3 linked regions of the Saccharomyces cerevisiae S288C genome follow. Changing the gene in region 2 together with the main gene of any one other region gives a genetic interaction. Each region holds a gene or a part of one and is shown on either strand. Other genes may lie near its edges.

Region 1 (9,016 bases), on a different chromosome or scaffold from region 2:
TCTCCATTGTTAGTGACCATTGATGATGTGTTCTAGGATATTGTTATGTTGATTCCAGATTATGAATGACGTTGAAATGTGTTTTAGAGGAGGAATGATGAGTGCCTTTGAACCTAAGGAATCAGATGGCTAAAAATGCTATGTCACCTCGAAAGCAAGAGCAGATCAAGGTAAATGATATCCAACTATATTGTGGGTATTGCTTTTATCAAACTGGCTTATGACAGTGCTTCACAAGATTTAAGCATTCTATTTCATTGATGAAGCTGTTCGCTTATCTGATCTTGCTGATAAGGCGAATCTTAATGCATGGGTTTATTAAAGGATGATGCATGTGAGAACTGATCACCAGAGCCGAAAAAACATTCTCAGAATATCGCTGAAAACCTTCAATAATAAAAGCTTCCTAGCGCTCCTTCCGATGTCTGTACATTAGGTATCTAGTAGGATGCGTATGTACAGTTGTATTCTTTTCTTACTATATAGAATATTCATGAGATCACACAACACATACAAAATACTTACCTAATTTAGCATGAAATCAAATATGCTAGTCATATCAACGTAGCGACGTCCACAATCGTTCAAATATTTTTGAACAACGCTCCGGCCGGTTTCCATTAGTTCTCTGTTTTGTTCTGTTAAAGCCTTAATAGATGATTCTGTCAGCTGTTCCTTGGGGTAGTCGAGATCATCGGGTAGATATATTGGCTTCAATTCTTGCTTTTTATTTTTTTCACAATCGAATAAAGAATCGAAATATAAAAGTTGATTGTACAATTGCTTGTCACTGTATTTGTATCTCATGACACCCGTGCAGCCGTCATTCAAACAACGCTTACCAAAAACGGAGACTTGTCTTGTAACTATACCGCATGTGCTGTCATCACACTGTAACCACCCTGCGTAATATAAGGAAATGTGTGCCCTTATAGAATGCTCTATTTGGCTAGTTAATTGAAGAGGAGTAAAAAGTTGCTCACAATGCTTGCACTGTAAACCATTATATGACACGCGATAGTAATTTGAAGATACAATACCACCAAATGGAAACCTTTTATCGCATGATGGGCAACTTAATTCTAATGTTACAGTATCCTTAAACCTTTCAACGTCTGTAATTGTTGTTTCTAAGGGTTGCAAATTATTAATATCTTCTCCATTGTTATTACCGCCCTCTCTTCTAAAATACTTTTTACTATCTAAACCAAGCGCTTCACTCAAACGCACCACGTTGAAGCTATCAATTCTTTCTAACAACCTTTCTACCGGCGCGAATATTTGTTTCTCGAGATAATATTGTGGATCAGGTATCAAATTGTTACTTTTAATCATTACCTCATTCAATGCATGGGCACGTTCAGCCACAGAAAGAGCCGGCGTATCCGCTGCATTGTCTATTTCATCCTGCTTTGTGATCACAAAAGTGATGACAGAGCCAGCTTTAACAACTCTACCAGCCTTACGCATTCTTAGAGCTACTTGGACTGCAGGCATGTTTTTACCACCTGGGTAGGCCTTGGGATCTTTTGAAAGCTTCATATTGATCTTATATTTATCAATTCTAATGTTATTGGTTTCCACTTTTATTCTGATGTCTTCTAAGTAATCATACACTTCTTGCAATGCTTCTTCTGGGTCCTTATCTGACAGGATGGTGTTTAAAACATGTATAGAAACGTCCCTCGAAAGTGGACAAAATTCACGACGCTTCATGTCCAACCCTTTAACTTCTAGAACAGTAGTTCCATTACCATTTTTGTCCAAATTTACAGTCAAAGCAGCGTACTTTTTCTTGGCATGTAATAGTAACTTCTTAAAAACATTATCAATATCAATCTCCAATAATCTATAGCGCTCATTTACTAGCCTTTTAAATCCCAAGCCAATTTTAATTGCATCCGCATAATTATCACAACCGGTATCTATCATGACCGAATCTGTATCACCATAAACTACAAGAAGATTCATACTTTCAGCTAGTTGTCTTGTATTCATTAAAATCTCACGACCCTTATTAGTGACTAACATGGCGAGCGGCTTTGCGTAAAATCTACTGTTAACATAACCCAAACAACCATACATAGAATTGGCAGTCAATTTTAGAGCTTGTTGACGAATATCACATTGAACTCGCTTATGGGGATCAGTTTCAGTTTTCATCACCTTCTTAACTTCACGTCGACGATCCACCAGATTAGCTAATAACCTTGGTAAAACACCCTGATCCACCTCTGAAGGAGGTACGCTTGGTAACTCATCGATATCTTCCTTATTTCTATCAACGGTGGTAAAACATATATTAAATTCCTGGATAATAGATGGATACAAAGAATTAAAGTCCATGACTAAAACGTAATTCTTATGAAGACCTTTCTCAGGTTCAAAAACTAAACCACCCTGATATTTTGCCTTTTTAGAATTAACTGGTGCATCAGCATTTTCTTCATTTTGTCTTTGTTTCTGAGCTCTACTTCTATTGCCTTCTTTGTCAGGAACAATAAAACCATTTCTTGAAAATTCATGTAGTAAGATATACTCATTTCTACCAGCTCTTGTACCGCCTAGCGTTTGGGCCCATGCATTACCAGCCAAATTTGTCAACTGTTTAGTCAAGGTTAATAATTGAATTCTATAAGACACCTCAGCAGAAATCATACAATTAGTAATATTCTCTTGTAGGGCCATTGTCATACTATTTACATCATTTTGGTATTGTGGATTTTGATAATCAATATCTAACGGCTTATGCTCCTTTTCACATGTAACTTGATACATCTCTGAAAGATCCCAACTTTGACATTTGGGTGTTAATGATTGACCCATTTCATTGGCGATATCACATATCAGCCTACCAGAGCAAATGTCACTAATAAAAAAATGGTTCATATTCGAATTTCCTCTACCGAATTTTTCAGGCCAAGTCCTTCTTAAACGACGGCCAATAGAGCTGAACGTTGGAATGTTGAGATCATGCATTCTATGAGCTAAAACATCTAAGTAGACATTTTGCAAACGATGGCCTATGATAACATCTGGGTCTTCCACTTTTAACATAGCACAAAAACAAGATAGCATGGCCTTTTCGTTGTTGAACAACCTGACTCTACCGGGTAGTTTCTGTTTTGCCAGTGCAGCTAAACCTAATGGGAAACTAGTTGACTGAGGCGGCCTTACTAAAGTACACAAGTCGTCTGGTTTTATATTTTCAGGTATCGGTGAATCCAACGAGATATTTCTATATGCTGATAACGTTATCGAAACAATCTCTTGCTTATTTTCCTTGGGATTCATTAACGTCTGAATCGATAAAGATAGACATCTCAGATTAGGCATTGTCTTTGTTGTAGTAGGCGTGATATTCTGAGGCTTATCTACCGAAACTTCAACCGCACAGTGAGAAGCATTACGAATTGAATTGAAATCTGCTCCCTTTATATCTAACCAGCATGGTCCCATAATCCTATTTTGAATAACAAAACTTTCAAAAATATTGGAATTCCCACCAAAAACATGATAAAAGGTATCGCTAGATAAATCCGATGGAATGGTGTCTCGACTGGACTTCGGTGTTTGGTATGGAAGTAAGACTTTCAAATAATCACTTTCAGATGGAATGTCAGGAAGCTCAAACGAATATTTCATTTTTTGAGGTTTAGCGCGGATATTATCCAGTCCATATTTATCCATCAGTAACGGAATTATTTCCTCGTGTATATCGGTAGGTGTTTTACCCTCTCTTGGAAGGAAAAATAGCTCTCTACAGAGACCGTTGATTTGAACCATGGCTGACACACAATTATCATCCTTTAGTTTAACCTTACCAAATAAAATCAAAGTGTTGTTCACTTCACAGTAATCCAACCAAAACATTTGGAAAGTATCAGTTTCCGGATCTACCACATCTTCCTTTTTGACATTAACCGCAAGTGTAGCAACATCGGTGTTGCTCTGCAAAGATTTACTTGGAGTTAGTCCTTTAATACCGATTGGCGTTCCGGGTGCTGTGACAAACGGTGAAGTTGAAGGGTTACTTCTTGAGTCTATATTCACGCGTCTAGTTGTTGTCACACTTCTCATAGTTCTTCTTTTCAGAATAATATCTTCATCACTATCTTCATCATCTTCTTCATCAGCCAAACTTTGAGCGGATGGTGGATTTGCTAGTAACGTATCTTGAAGTACATTCTGTCTCTTTGTGGCTACTACTGGGGAATTTTCCACATCATCCAATAAATCCTGTACATCATTTGCGTAGCGCAGTTTCCTGCTTTGTAATTTTAACGGTGATGATTCGATTTCTAAATATTTATCAGTACTTGAATCTGGATCAATCTTGACTTTTTTAGAAATACCGGCATCATGACTTGACTCATCGTTTCCGTTAACTCTCTTTATTGACGATTTAAATTCACTAGTCGGCGAAGAATTTAAATTTTCCCTTAATTTGGATGGCAGTAAAATATTGGGTTTTTCTACTTCACCAGATTCAAACTCACCAAGAATGTCATCAAAATTATCGATGGGGATACTTTTTTTTTGGGATTTTTTTGCATGTGCTAGCAGTGTTGATTTGGAATGTTGAGTTCGCAGCATATCTGTAATCTGGTGGTCTTTCTCCCTTTTTATATTCTTCTTCCTTTTAGAATCCTTGCTAGCAAGGTTTCCAGTGTCTTCATCACTTGAACTGTTATCAACTTCCCTCCAATCTTCTTCGACACCACGATCGACGTAGCCTACACCATCGTCATCTACAACAAAATCGTCATGCAGCAATTCCTGGCGCTTTCTGGCCCTGTATTCTTTTTCGTCGATTTCGTCGTATATTCTGTCACCATCTGATTCGTCACCTTCGTAATCATCGATGGATGTACCATTTCGAGCGGCTTGCAGCTTTCTCAATTTTTCTAATTTTTCACTTTTAGAAGACATTTTCCACTGTTTATTTTATGCCTTGATACTATTTGGTTTCTAATAGCAGAGTGAAGACAGTTTTTTTTCTCGTGAGTCTGAATTGGTATGTGTTCGTTGTCTAGACCAAGAAGATATATATCATCCAATGAGTAAAGAATTTAATTCAGTAAAATTGGATACACGCGACGCGTTTTACTTATAGGCTAACAAAAAAATTTTAACGCGTTTGAATAGATGTGTGATGAATGAAGAATAGAGATTGCAGGCAGTACAAGAAAAAAGTTATATTTCTTTAAGAAAAATGCACGTATATATATATATATATATAATTAAACTGTATAGTCTGTTATTTTATTCTTTCTGAACCTTCTCAAAAATTTGCTTCTTTAAGCTTTCAGCTTTTTTTATTCCTTCCGTTTCACCGCTACTCAGAACTAAATTCTTTAAAAGCTTGTTTTCCGTTTCTAACGTATGTATCCGTTTTTGTAAGGATGCTGCAATTTCGGTCAGTTCATGTATCGATGATTCTAACTCCTTTTCCTTTAGTTTTTTTTTTTGATGAGATTTTTTCGACTGTATCAATAAATCTTCATCGTCGTCCCCTAACTCTTTCTTGATCAGTTGCTTCTTTTCAAAGCCGTGTAAATCTGCATCGTCATATTCATCGTCTTCATTATCAGAATACTTGCGGTCGACGGGTACTTTTTTATTTTTCAAATCTCCGGAGTGTGATCTTTTTAAACTATTTTCCTTGTGATCAGAAGAACTTGCATTTAAAGTTGGCTCGGATCGTATCTTGGCAATTTCGTCTCCACGCGTCGTACTTGACTTAATAACAGCGTTATTATGATGGACATTATCGTTTCCATTGTTACCGTCACTCTCTCTTGATATTTTATGATCGTTTCGTGAAGGTTGTCGTTGATTGTGAATATTATTACTTTTTGGATGCTTTATGCCCAGTTCCAAAATGGAGCTTAGAAAAGAAGCCTCTGCTACTACACCGTGCTCATTGAACGAAGGCGACGTTGATAAGGTAGTTGGCGCAGCAGTTTCAGCCGGAGAGGGTGGTATTAAGACACTTAAAAGTTCGTTGATGTTTTTTAGAATGGGTGCCTCTTGACTGTCATTGGTGTTGATGTTTTTATTATTATTACTGTTATTTTCCCTAATCTTTTTTTGATGATGATACGCCATTATTGCGGCTATAGCATCTATTTGATCATTGTCAAATCCCGCGCTGATCAACGAGTTATATGCGCCGTTGGGCACGTTGACCCTCGGTAATAGAGTTACTAAAACAGAGGTTGGTATAATTGAATAGTCAGGAACAGTTATATTGGGGGCTTTGTTGGAGCTGTTATTATCGCTGTTACTATCGACTTTGCTTTCCGAATGTTTTCGTTGTTGTGAAGAGGAATTTTGAGCAGAAGTGACATTGCTTAGGGGGGAGGAGCGGTTCGGTGTGTGTGTTGTCCTATGTAGTAGATTTGATAGCGCATCCACTCCATTGTCACCGGTAGTATTGTTCTCAGTTGATGTAATGTCAACATTTGTGAAGCCGCCATGGTCGATTGATGTCATATTAGTTGCGTCAGCGGGAAACTGAGAAGGGCTTCCCATAAAGTTTGGCTCAAAAGGATGGTTATTTTGCATATTGTCGCCAAAGTTGTTTGTTTCGCCGTTATTGCCATTTCTTTTGTTTTTGGACGAAAATCGAGACTTTGATTGGTCGTATTGGGAAGTTAGGAAAGTATTCCTTCTTTGAGTCAAGAAGTGAGGATTTCTTTGTCTATTATTGGTAGAAGGGTCCTCATGCAATACGTCGTGGTTGCTATGGTCGTCATTACCATTATTGCTGTTGTTATTGTTATTGCTCGGCTTATCCTCGTCTGGGAAGATGAAAGAATCGTCGGCAAACGCACTCAACTCAATGGCTAGTTGTTCATCCAAGTCAAAAGGATTTGCATTTATGCTGCTGAAAGTGTCCGCGCCATTATTGTTTGCATTATTATGGGTGGTATTCACATTCCAATCCACATTAGAGAACTCGTTATCCAGAGATGGTATGAAGTTATCCACGTAGGCCAACTGTTCTAAGAGTATTTCTGGCGTGACAGCGTGGTCATATAGGTTAGTGTTGCCCCTATTGGTAACGTCACCTATTAGGGGGCGCCTATTCTCGCTGCTGGTCACCAGAGAAGATGACGATGAGGCTGTTGCCACAAACTGGTCCAACGAGTTCGTGCTCCCCATGCCATTATTATTAGCACCGTTGTTGCTGCTAGGGTGTGTTGCGGTATCTTTGCCAAAGAGATTTATGAATTCCGTGCTGTATGAGTCGCCTTCGTGGGACTGCTCCTGCTTCATCGTTCACAGTGGAAAAAAAGGAATAAAAGTGCTTATCAGAAGTGCGCTTTATTGACGAGAGTCTGTCTAAACAGTTGACGGACAGGCAAGAAGACCTTCAGGAGTTGACTAATATATGAAATGATGTGCGTTCAAACAGACCGTTTCACCTGGCACAGATGCATGTAAACAAGGATATACGTTATTACATGCTACGGCTACATCTAGATTGGGTGGATTTAAGTTGAACGATGAAAGAAAATTCAAGCAATATGCTTGTGTGGCCCGATGACACACAATAGCATGTGCGACGAGACACCAGCTGTGTGCCGGGTGCTACCCGCGCACGTGATTAAAAGGAAACGGGGAAAAAGCCATAGCGGAAAAGTGCTCGAAGAAGCCTCGATAAATGAAGTAAAAAATTCGATATTTTTCAACGACAATAAGACGTATATAAGCATCCGTATGTCCAGCGATTGAGCTTATGCTTCTGTTCTCCGCTTTGACACTTCCACTCGGCTGTTATGACCAGCCCCAGGATTGCTACCGGAGCGGGACCGGCTCTGAGACAGTAGTAGGTTAGTCATCGCTCTACCGACGCGCAGGAAAAGAAAGAAGGCCTCAGAAAAGCTGAGTTGAATGTGTGTCATACTTGGCTGAAAAAATTGTACAGTAACGGCCAGTCACTGTCATGCGCGTGCATGTATGTGCGTGCATGTATGTGTGTATGTATATTTATATATATATAAGCACGGGCGCATGGGAGATGTGCGCTATGGAGTCGCGTAGGTTCGATGTTTTCTCCTCTTGGGTCAGCCTCTCTCCTCTTTCAACGTTCTTTCCATAATCATTTATTGGTTATTTTTCAACTTGACCAGTAAAAAGAAACTTACGTGTAAGTGACTCAGTTCTTTCAAAGGGTATTTTTTGAAGAAAAAAAAGGATTCTCACACTAGAAGTTTACTGTAGACTTTTTCCTTACAAAAAGACAAGGAACAATCATGGTTAAAGAGAGTATTATTGCTCTTGCTGAGCATGCGGCCTCCAGAGCCTCAAGAGTTATTCCTCCAGTGAAGCTAGCCTATAAAAATATGCTTAAGGACCCTTCCTCCAAGTACAAGCCATTTAACGCTCCAAAGCTATCTAATAGAAAGTGGCCGGATAACCGGATCACGAGGGCTCCTCGTTGGTTATCAACAGATTTGAGAGATGGTAACCAATCTCTGCCGGATCCCATGTCAGTGGAACAAAAGAAAGAATACTTTCACAAGCTGGTCAATATTGGGTTCAAAGAAATCGAGGTTTCCTTCCCCTCTGCATCTCAAACAGATTTCGACTTCACTAGATATGCTGTAGAAAACGCCCCAGACGATGTTAGTATTCAATGTCTTGTCCAATCTAGAGAACACTTGATTAAGAGAACGGTGGAAGCATTAACAGGTGCTAAAAAGGCTACTATACATACTTACTTGGCAACAAGTGATATGTTCCGTGAAATTGTTTTTAATATGTCTAGAGAGGAAGCTATTTCCAAGGCAGTAGAGGCCACCAAACTAGTTAGGAAACTAACTAAGGATGACCCTTCCCAACAAGCCACTCGTTGGTCCTATGAGTTTTCCCCCGAATGTTTCAGTGATACTCCAGGTGAATTTGCTGTAGAAATTTGCGAAGCTGTTAAGAAGGCTTGGGAACCTACCGAGGAAAATCCAATCATTTTCAACTTACCTGCTACCGTAGAAGTTGCCTCTCCAAA
Region 2 (3,600 bases):
CAAGTTTTTCCCTTCTCTTCTCTTTTTGTCTGATTCTTTTATTTCTAAGAATTTCTTGTTCTAGCAAGTTCTCTACTATTTCCTTTTCTTTGGCCATATCCTCCAGCTTCAGACCTTTCGTTTCAATCACTTCTTTCTGATGATCCAGAATTTGTTTCCTGCTAGCTTTCCTTAAGGTATTTAATAGTACATTATGATCAACTTTTGGGTCTTTACTTTTATTCGGCCTTTGAGACAACTTTTGATTTTGTTTAGAGAGTCTTGCCTTCAGGTTTAATATAGTCGCCTTTGATAACTGAGAGATTGGCAAAACGCTTTCATCTTTGGATAATTTAATGCTATCCATATCATCATCTCCATATTCGTCACTGTCGCTGTCGAGGTCCAGTGTTATGCATTTCGAGGAGTCAATTTCCCGTTTCAAATTATTAGCATAGGAGCTCAATAGTGGAACCCTTTTCTCATTTATTCTTGTCTCATCAGTTAGATTTAATTCAACACTTTTGTTCTCATGCAGTTCATCGTCATTCTGTACTGGTTTTGGATGTGCATTTTCCAGCTTTATATCATCGTCCTCATTTGAGGACGAATCGTCAAAATCAGCAAGAAAAGACTCTTTAGAAAAAAATTTTTTGGTTGGTATTGGCTTTTGCGGTTTTTTGTATTCGACATTTCTAGCTTTTTCCCTTTTAGAATCTTCTGAAGCCAATTCGCTTTGTATTTCCCGAATTTTTAATGTGTGTGGTACTTCATCTTGAAGTGTTTGTGCGACTGTATCTATTTGGGTTTTCTGTTCCTGATGCGTAGCCTGTGGAATACCAATTGCTTGTGTCTTATCCTCATCATGCGCAGTCTGTGGTGGTACATCCATTTGGGTGTCAGGACCACGATTTTGAATGGACTGAAATAAAGGACTAGTTCCAATAAGTTCCGTTGGAATTATAGGAATTTTCGGCGACAGAGCATTAGAATGATTGCTGGAAGTCGTAATTATTTGGGATTGTGGTTCAATTGATTTTATAGGCTGAGTTTGTGAGGTTGCACCGCTGCTATCTATACGCTGTGTAGCCCCTGGCCGTCCTGTCGTGAGAGGTGTTTTCAGCGCTTGAGAAGTTTCGTTGACGAGACCATCTTCTTTGATTAATTGGGTGGGTTTCCCGTCATTAACGGAATGGATAGGTACGTTAAACACCTTGTCTTGTTGGATGCTGACAGGTATTCTTTGCGTCTGCGTGAATGAAGAAGAGACATTTTTCTCACTGTAACTATTATCTTTAACTTCGGATTTCTCCAGCTCTTCACCACCATCGTAAAGATTAGAGATTAATTGAGTTGGTAACGAATTCTCACTCCTATCTTTTCCATTATTGTGATTCTGTTCGGGTGCTTTCTTGCCTTCTAATCTGTTCTTAACACGATTTAATGTGGCATTGGCAAATAAAAACCCGTTCCCAGTCAACTCTGGCGGATTGTCTATGTCATTGGGCCCATTTCCATTAGTATTATCGTTCTCATCTAGTATGGGAACAGCAACTTTTTTGTAGGTGGTAGTTCTCTTCTTTGCAGTCAACGAGGACAAAGCATGCAAGGCATCATCCATCACTAAAATATTTGGTGATAAGTTCAAAAGCGAATAACGAACTTCCTTAGTTGTTTGTCTGTTCTTGGTTTTTTTCCAACATAATGTGTTTGAAATGCTATTGAAGCAAACGCGTTTTACGCATTCTATCTCTTCATGACGCGTCGAAGAAGGATAAGGAAAATTTCAAGTATTGATGTATATCTCTCTGCATATGAGAGCCAGTAGAGTTGGTGTCCTAGTAAGAATTTCTTTCACTTTACAAACATATCTAAGTAAACGAAATGTGTGTGTGTTTCTATATATATATAGACATATATGAAGGATTCCGTAGCGGTGTAAACTAATTTTGGTTTGGCTTGTATGCTTCTTCTTCCGGAGCTATGAAATCTTTTGCTCTCTCTTCCTGCCTTTCGATTTCTCTTTCCATTTGCTTTTCCTTTTGCTCATTTAATTTCTTCATTTGCTTTTCTCTCTTGCTTAAGAAATACTCACCACTTTCAATTTCCAAATCAACCTTTCTAGGCAATTGGGCAGGAGGAAATGGAGTATAGACCTTCTTTTCGACGTTTCTGATCTTCTTGGGTTTCTTTCTGGCCACATTCCTCTTCTTAAACATGGGCAAGAATCTTGACCAATCTTCATTGGCTAACTCTGGCCTTTTTGCCAATTCTCTTTTTATCATTAATTCCTTGATATGATAGATAGGGTGAATATTTTTCATACAATCTTCTACTACTCGACGGACCTCCTTCAAGCCCTTGAAGGGACCCATGGCACTTACTGTGTTACCTTGTACTAGAATGTAACATTTAGTTAGAAGTTCCAAAGCCTTTAAAGTATTACCGTTAGGGCCTACAAGACGTTGTCTTCTCTTGACAAACCTTTCTTTGTTAGTAACGAAATTACCAATTTTAATAACGTCGCATGCCATGTCATCTTGTAGGATCTTAACGGCTTGCGGGAAAGGAACGGATCTCGCCAATAATTTGATCAAATCTCTGGCTTTCAAAATGATAGCGGGATCGTATGTTTTTCTAGTTGTTTTTACTGTCATAGAACCTTCGACTAAATCTAGAACACACGCTATGTTGTGTTTGTCTAGAGCCCTTGTTACATCATTCCAAATCGTCTTCAAGTAACTTTCTCTGTATTTAGGAAACAAAGTCATAAAACTGGACTCTTCAGCAAAAGGTTGACCGGATGCGTTATCCTCTTCCTTAAACTCCTCTATCTTCCATTTATCAATATCATCCGTATCCCAAGGTTTATCTCTGTTATGTGTAGACACCATCGTTTGCCAATTTGGATATTTGTGTGACCCTTTTGTTTGCTGTCTACTTTACAATAGTTAACCTCATCATCTCTTTTTTTTGAAAATTTTCATATCTCATCGCTAAAAGAATTAGAAATATAAGGAAAAAAAAATTTTCGTTTTCAGATGTGCAAGCCTGCTATAATAAGGTACAATAACTCAAGGGCATTTAGCAAGGAAAAAATGGGCAAGTGTAGCATGAAAAAGAAAGGTGTGGGCAAGAATGTTGGTGTTGGCAAGAAAGTACAAAAAAAGAGGTCGATCAGCACCGCTGAAAGGAAGAGAACAAAGTTACAAGTGGAAAAGTTAAACAAAAGTAGTGAAACAATGATACCGACGCTGCTGCGGGAGGCAAGTACACAAGAGCCAGCTAAACTGAAAGCTGAGACTACTTTGAAAGCCGAGGAGCTGATCAAGGACCAGGAAAAGGACTCCAAGGTACGAGAGCAAATTCGGACAGAAAAATCAAAAACAAACGACAGCATGCTGAAGCAGATCGAAATGATATCCGGCTTTTCCTTATAGGGAATAGTGGTGAAAGTTACGTAAATATATACATATAGAGCGGAATGGTACTGCATATTTTTATTATTTTTTTTTTTGAATATATATAAAGCATCGTCGCTTAAGACTAAACCTTCGAGGATCTGAGGCCAGCGCTGGATCTAAAGATGGCGTCGCCCTCGGCGTAGCCTCTTCCAACACC
Region 3 (5,340 bases), on a different chromosome or scaffold from region 2:
CATCTATATTTGGGTGAGATAGAAAGTTTGAATGAAGTATCCTGAAGATTTCTGATTTACCCGCAGCCTCTGGTCTATTTGGATTTATTCGCACGAAAGGGTTGCCAGTTTTCTCAATATCGCATAAATGACAAACATACCAATTATCCATATCCTTTGTGGAATTTGGCAGAGTGCCGGAAAACTTCTCTGATTCTAGACAGGCTAGACGTCCGAGAATTACAGTCCATGATGTTAGCCTTGTTATATTGTTTGTCTTGAAACAAGTTTGAATGGATACAGATGCTTCATTTAAAATTAGCTTGAAATCGTTTCCAGCTCTTTGAAAAAATCCAGGACTTAGCTGGTTCACGCGGTATTTGAGCAAAGTTCCTCTTTCTGTCTTGTTAAACTTCTTTAGTACTAGCAACCTTAGCTTTTCCAGCTGCTTATATCGATCATCAAAGGGAGAAGTGACATTTTTCAAGCTCGAGTCCGGCTCCGATTGGTATACCCAGATGTTGAACTTATTATCGTACTTTAAAGCTTCAACAGGTAGGGACCTTCTTTTCAAATCAAAATATACAATCGAGAGAGCTTTATTAGTCAACTGCGTGAACGGAAAATGTTCACTTTGTGAAAAATCTGCCCACTGGTCAATTGGGAAGTGGTCTACAAAGCATTTTGAGAAATCGTTAGAAATGCAAAGAGAATATAGTCGAAGAATTCCTTTGGCCATAGTGGGGTCATTATCCAAGAGCCCATACTTGTTATCCAAAAAATGATGCATAGTAGTCAATACAAACTTTAATTGTTCACAACAAACTAACGCTGGGGCATCCAGGGCTGTGGAAATTGTTCTATTGCAAACATAGTCCACAACTAGAGAAATATATTTGAGTTGGATTTCGGCATATTCTAGTGCTGCTAGTTCGCAGGAATCAAAGACGTAAAGAACAATCCTGATTAATCGTTGGAAGTTAAAGTCAAATTTCGTGAACCCCAAAGAAGAATCTAAGAATGCTATAGAGTTCCCAAAAGTACTATACTCCGAAGTGAACCAGTATAAAAGAATGTATAGACCCTTCAAGGTGTCATAAAATTTGAGAAGCTCAGTCTTGCCCAACAAGACTTCAGTCAAGGCCTGTTCGTAAAGATTCATGGTGTTCTCAAAATGTGCAGTAAGCTGAAACTTAGCAGGTTTTCCGTAAAATTCGACACATGCTTTGCACCAGCTGCCTAATTTTCGCCTCATAAACCATATTCTGTGGTAATTATCATAGTTCAGAACGGATATGTTGAGGAAATCATCTATCAGCCTTTGTATCTCAAAGTTCCCGTTGGAATCCTTCATAACAAGCAAGAAGGGGTTGTACTCCAACAATAAGGCAAGGGCGGAAACTGTTTTCGAAAATATAGTATCATTTTTCATGATATTGTTCCTTCTTTGATCTTTTAGGTTTCTTATGAGGGTGTTCAGGATCTTTAAACTCTTGGCGTACTCCTGAGAAGAAGATGGATCCGTGGGCACTTTTTTAATCTGCACCTTTGAATCCACCCCCGAGTTCAGGTCTTTTATTGCCAATATCAATTCGTCAAGATATTTGACGTGTGATTCCATGCAGTCTTGTGGGCCTTTACGCGGTGTATGTCGTTCTTGTTGTCCAGCCTCACTTTGTCTTCATTAATCATCTCTCTTCAAAATTGTCCGTCGGCGGGTATTTTTTTCTAGTTGACTAGTTTTGGAGCGTGCGTTCCATCTATTTGATTTATAAGGGAAAGAAGAAATTTATTTGAAGGATATTCACTATATAAATTTTATTTGTATTCTAATGCTTGTTGGTGAAAACTATGATCCATAGTTTTTTTTTTTTTTGTTTGCTTGTTTGTTTATTCTTTATTATGATAAGTACATAGTATGCTCCATATAGTTATGGAGCCTTGAAAAGGAATTCAATTTCAGTAATTAGAGTATATCAAAGCTAGGAGATTTGGGGTGGAACTTGCATATCGTTCGAAATCGATTGTGTTTGATGTTGCTGTTGTTGTTGTTGCTGCTGTTGCTGCTGTTGCTGTTGCTGTTGAGCAGCAGCGGTCGCTGCCCTCAGCTCGGCCTCGTAGTTCAGCGGCCTTTTGAATAGCAAAATGTGTGGTTCTGGCGCATGGCATTCATAATGTTCCCACCCCAAAGACTGTGTGATGCCGAGGCCTCTCCATTCGTCTTCTGTTAATATACGCAGGGTCCCCACTTCCGAATTGAAGTAATCAGATGGGATAACTTTTAGCATGGCCTTAGGTAACATCACATGCCTGTACTCATAGTTATCGTCTGAGTACCGCGGAGAATAGTGAATGGAATCTTGAAACTCCAACACGCGTGCTCTTTCTTGGTCAGTAAGCTTTCTGCCTTGGAAGGCGTGATAGTGATGGTACATAGTACTGTAAGACGAGAGTAAGTGCGTGTCAATCTAGTTGTATCCAACGCGGCCAGCAGTTCCAAGAACTTACGACAGAGTTGTAATGAATGCTACTGATGTCTGCTCTACTGCCATCCGCTGTCCTTTCATGCATAAAAGCTCCATTCTTTATTTATCTCATACCACGAGAAAAAAAAATCACCTGACATATTTTTATAACCCGCCTTTTAGACCCTAAAACAGATCTCAGGGCTCGAGTACTGTTTTATCTGAAAATTCTTCGAGCCCTCGTTTTGCACTGAGCTAAACCAAAAGAAAAATAAACAATCACAAATGGAACCCGAAACAGCACGCTGCGCAGTGTTTTTATATTTTTTTGAAACAAATGGCTTTATACAATGTGTATGTGTGATAGAAAAAATGGTATATTTCGAGTGACTTGTGATCCTATTCCCAAGCCCTATAGGAGCTATTTCAAATTGCGTGTGTGAAAGCGTGTGTGTGTGTGTGTGTGTGGAATTGTGCGGACGTTCCTCTTCTTTTATACATATAATTTTTATATATACAAAGGGTTCAGTTTGCATATGCATAGCAACGTATTTGTTGGTGTCAAACCAGGCTTTAATCATAAACAGCACAGCAAAAAGTCACGTTTCCTAGAAAATGTCTCTAGTCATTCACCAGAACTGCCTAGTAACTATGATTACGTTTTGCTTCCTATAACAACGCCAAGATATAAGGAAATAGTTGGGCAAGTTTTCAAAGATTTCCAAAGACAATCCATACAGAACTGGAAACCGCTTCAAATTCCTGAACCGCAGTTGCAGGATATCTGTATACCCCCGTTCAACGTCAAGAAGCTAGACAATGACGATACGCCGTCTTACATAGGGCTGTTATCCTCTTGGCTGGAGCTGGAGAGTCGCGATCCAAATGTAAGAGATCTTGGCTTAAAGGTCCTTCTAAACGAATGTAAGTACGCGAGGTTTGTTGGAATCAATAAGCTAATATTGGCGCCTCCACGGGACCTGTCCAACCTGCAATTGTATGGACAGATGATTTACAGGCTCCTGCAAAATCGCATCGTCTTTGCTGCGCCTGCGTTAACCATATCCATTTCTCTGCCACTTTACGAAGACAGCGATCCATTGGCCACTTGGGAACTGTGGAATACCGTGCGGAAACAATGCGAATATCATCCCTCTTTGACTATCTCTTTGGCTTTGCCAAGAACCAGGACTCCTTCGTATGTGCTGAATAGATGGTTAGCCGAACCCGTCTCGTGTCTTTTGGTATCTTCATCCATCTTTGCCAGTAATCAGTACGATTATCCCGTTTTACACAAGTTTAACCAGAATTTGATTTTAAAGTTCCAAAAGGTTAATGGAGATTCACAAATTTTGGGTAATGAATTATGCGTGATATTGCATGGGATGGAGAAATATGCCAATAATGTTAAGGGCGGAGAATCTGCCTATTTGGAATATATAAACTACTTATTGAAAAAGGGCGACAAAGTATTAAATTCCAATAGTAATCACCAATTTTTGCTCCAAGAGGACTCTCGGATAATGCCGCCTCTGAAACCTCATTCAGATAATTTATTAAATTCCACATATTTGACTTTTGAAAAAGATTTGGTGAAGTACGATCTTTACGAATCTGCCATATTAGAGGCGCTTCAAGATCTTGCTCCTCGAGCGAGTGCCAAGAGACCGTTGGTGATCCTAGTAGCCGGTGCGGGAAGAGGACCTTTAGTGGATCGAACTTTTAAGATAATATCAATGTTGTTTATGGATAGTAAGGTTTCTATAATTGCCATTGAAAAAAATCCACAGGCATATCTGTACTTGCAAAAAAGAAATTTCGACTGTTGGGATAATAGAGTGAAATTAATCAAGGAGGATATGACCAAATGGCAAATCAACGAGCCGTCGGAAAAGCGTATTCAGATAGATCTGTGCATAAGTGAACTGCTGGGTTCGTTCGGTTGCAATGAATTATCACCAGAATGTCTCTGGTCTATTGAAAAATATCATTCCCACAATGACACAATTTTCATACCGAGGTCATACTCTTCATACATAGCACCCATTTCGTCACCATTATTCTACCAAAAACTCTCACAAACAAATCGCTCTTTGGAGGCGCCCTGGATAGTCCATAGAGTGCCATACTGTATATTATCCTCAAGGGTAAATGAAGTGTGGCGGTTCGAGCATCCCATGGCCCAAAAAGATACTGTCCAAGACGAAGATGATTTTACAGTTGAATTTTCTCAAAGTTCATTAAATGAGTTCAAGATAAAGCACCGCGGCGAAATCCATGGCTTTATCGGATTCTTCTCGGCAAACTTATATAACAATATATTCTTGTCAACTTTGCCCAATGACAGCACAGTCCGTTTAAAATTTAGCGAAGAAACGTTGATGAATACCAGACGAGAAGAAAATCTAATCAAGAAATGTGACCATACACCAAATATGACCTCGTGGTCTCCAATTATCTTTCCTTTGAAGCAACCAATATCCTTTATAGATGACTCCGAACTTTCTGTGCTGATGTCTCGGATACACTCCGATACAGAACAAAAAGTTTGGTATGAATGGTCTTTGGAGAGTTTCATATACCTTATGTTGTCAAATTACACTTCGGCGGTAACTGCTGCAAGCATGACTATTCCGAGGTCTATAGTTACAGATGACACTAAAACTTTAGCCCATAATCGACATTATTCAGCGACTACCAATCAAAAGCTAGATAATCAAATTGATCTTGACCAAGACATTGAAAACGAAGAAGAACAGGGATTCCTATCCAATCTAGAAACTGGTTGGCAAAGCGTACAAGATATTCACGGACTCAGCGAAACCGCCAAACCGGACCATTTAGATTCTATCAATAAGCCTATGTTTGATCTCAAATCTACTAAAGCGCTTGAACC

The links.
Region 1: mutations in MRC1 (region 2) and POL1 impair growth when combined (synthetic growth defect), as found in Saccharomyces cerevisiae (5 studies listed by BioGRID, with this or other methods).
Region 3: mutations in MRC1 (region 2) and MEC1 impair growth when combined (synthetic growth defect), as found in Saccharomyces cerevisiae (5 studies listed by BioGRID, with this or other methods).

What each region holds. Positions count from the first base shown.
Region 1 is NC_001146.8:426,003-435,018, reverse strand, and holds POL1 (DNA-directed DNA polymerase alpha catalytic subunit POL1), read right to left. Parts: upstream 4,933-9,016; coding exon 526-4,932; downstream 1-525. Other genes in the region: AVT4 (Avt4p), read right to left, coding at 1-20; MET4 (Met4p), read right to left, coding at 5,266-7,284; 2-isopropylmalate synthase LEU4, read left to right, coding at 8,265-9,016. UniProt on the Saccharomyces cerevisiae protein: Catalytic component of DNA polymerase alpha, which in complex with DNA primase (DNA polymerase alpha:primase) constitutes a replicative polymerase. POL1 has a role in promoting telomere replication during interaction with CDC13.
Region 2 is NC_001135.5:20,507-24,106, forward strand, and holds the start of MRC1 (chromatin-modulating protein MRC1), read right to left. Parts: upstream 1,601-3,600; coding exon 1-1,600. Other genes in the region: ribosome biosynthesis protein KRR1, read right to left, coding at 1,923-2,873; FYV5 (Fyv5p), read right to left, coding at 3,017-3,475; ADF1 (Adf1p), read left to right, coding at 3,078-3,419; MIC10 (Mic10p), read right to left, coding at 3,526-3,600. UniProt on the Saccharomyces cerevisiae protein: Required for normal DNA replication. Phosphorylated in response to DNA replication stress. Phosphorylation allows it to mediate the activation of RAD53.
Region 3 is NC_001134.8:501,928-507,267, reverse strand, and holds the start of MEC1 (protein kinase MEC1), read right to left. Parts: upstream 1,601-5,340; coding exon 1-1,600. Other genes in the region: cyclin-dependent protein kinase regulatory subunit CKS1, read right to left, coding at 1,962-2,414; HSL7 (protein arginine N-methyltransferase), read left to right, coding at 2,981-5,340. UniProt on the Saccharomyces cerevisiae protein: Serine/threonine protein kinase which activates checkpoint signaling upon genotoxic stresses such as ionizing radiation (IR), ultraviolet light (UV), or DNA replication stalling, thereby acting as a DNA damage sensor.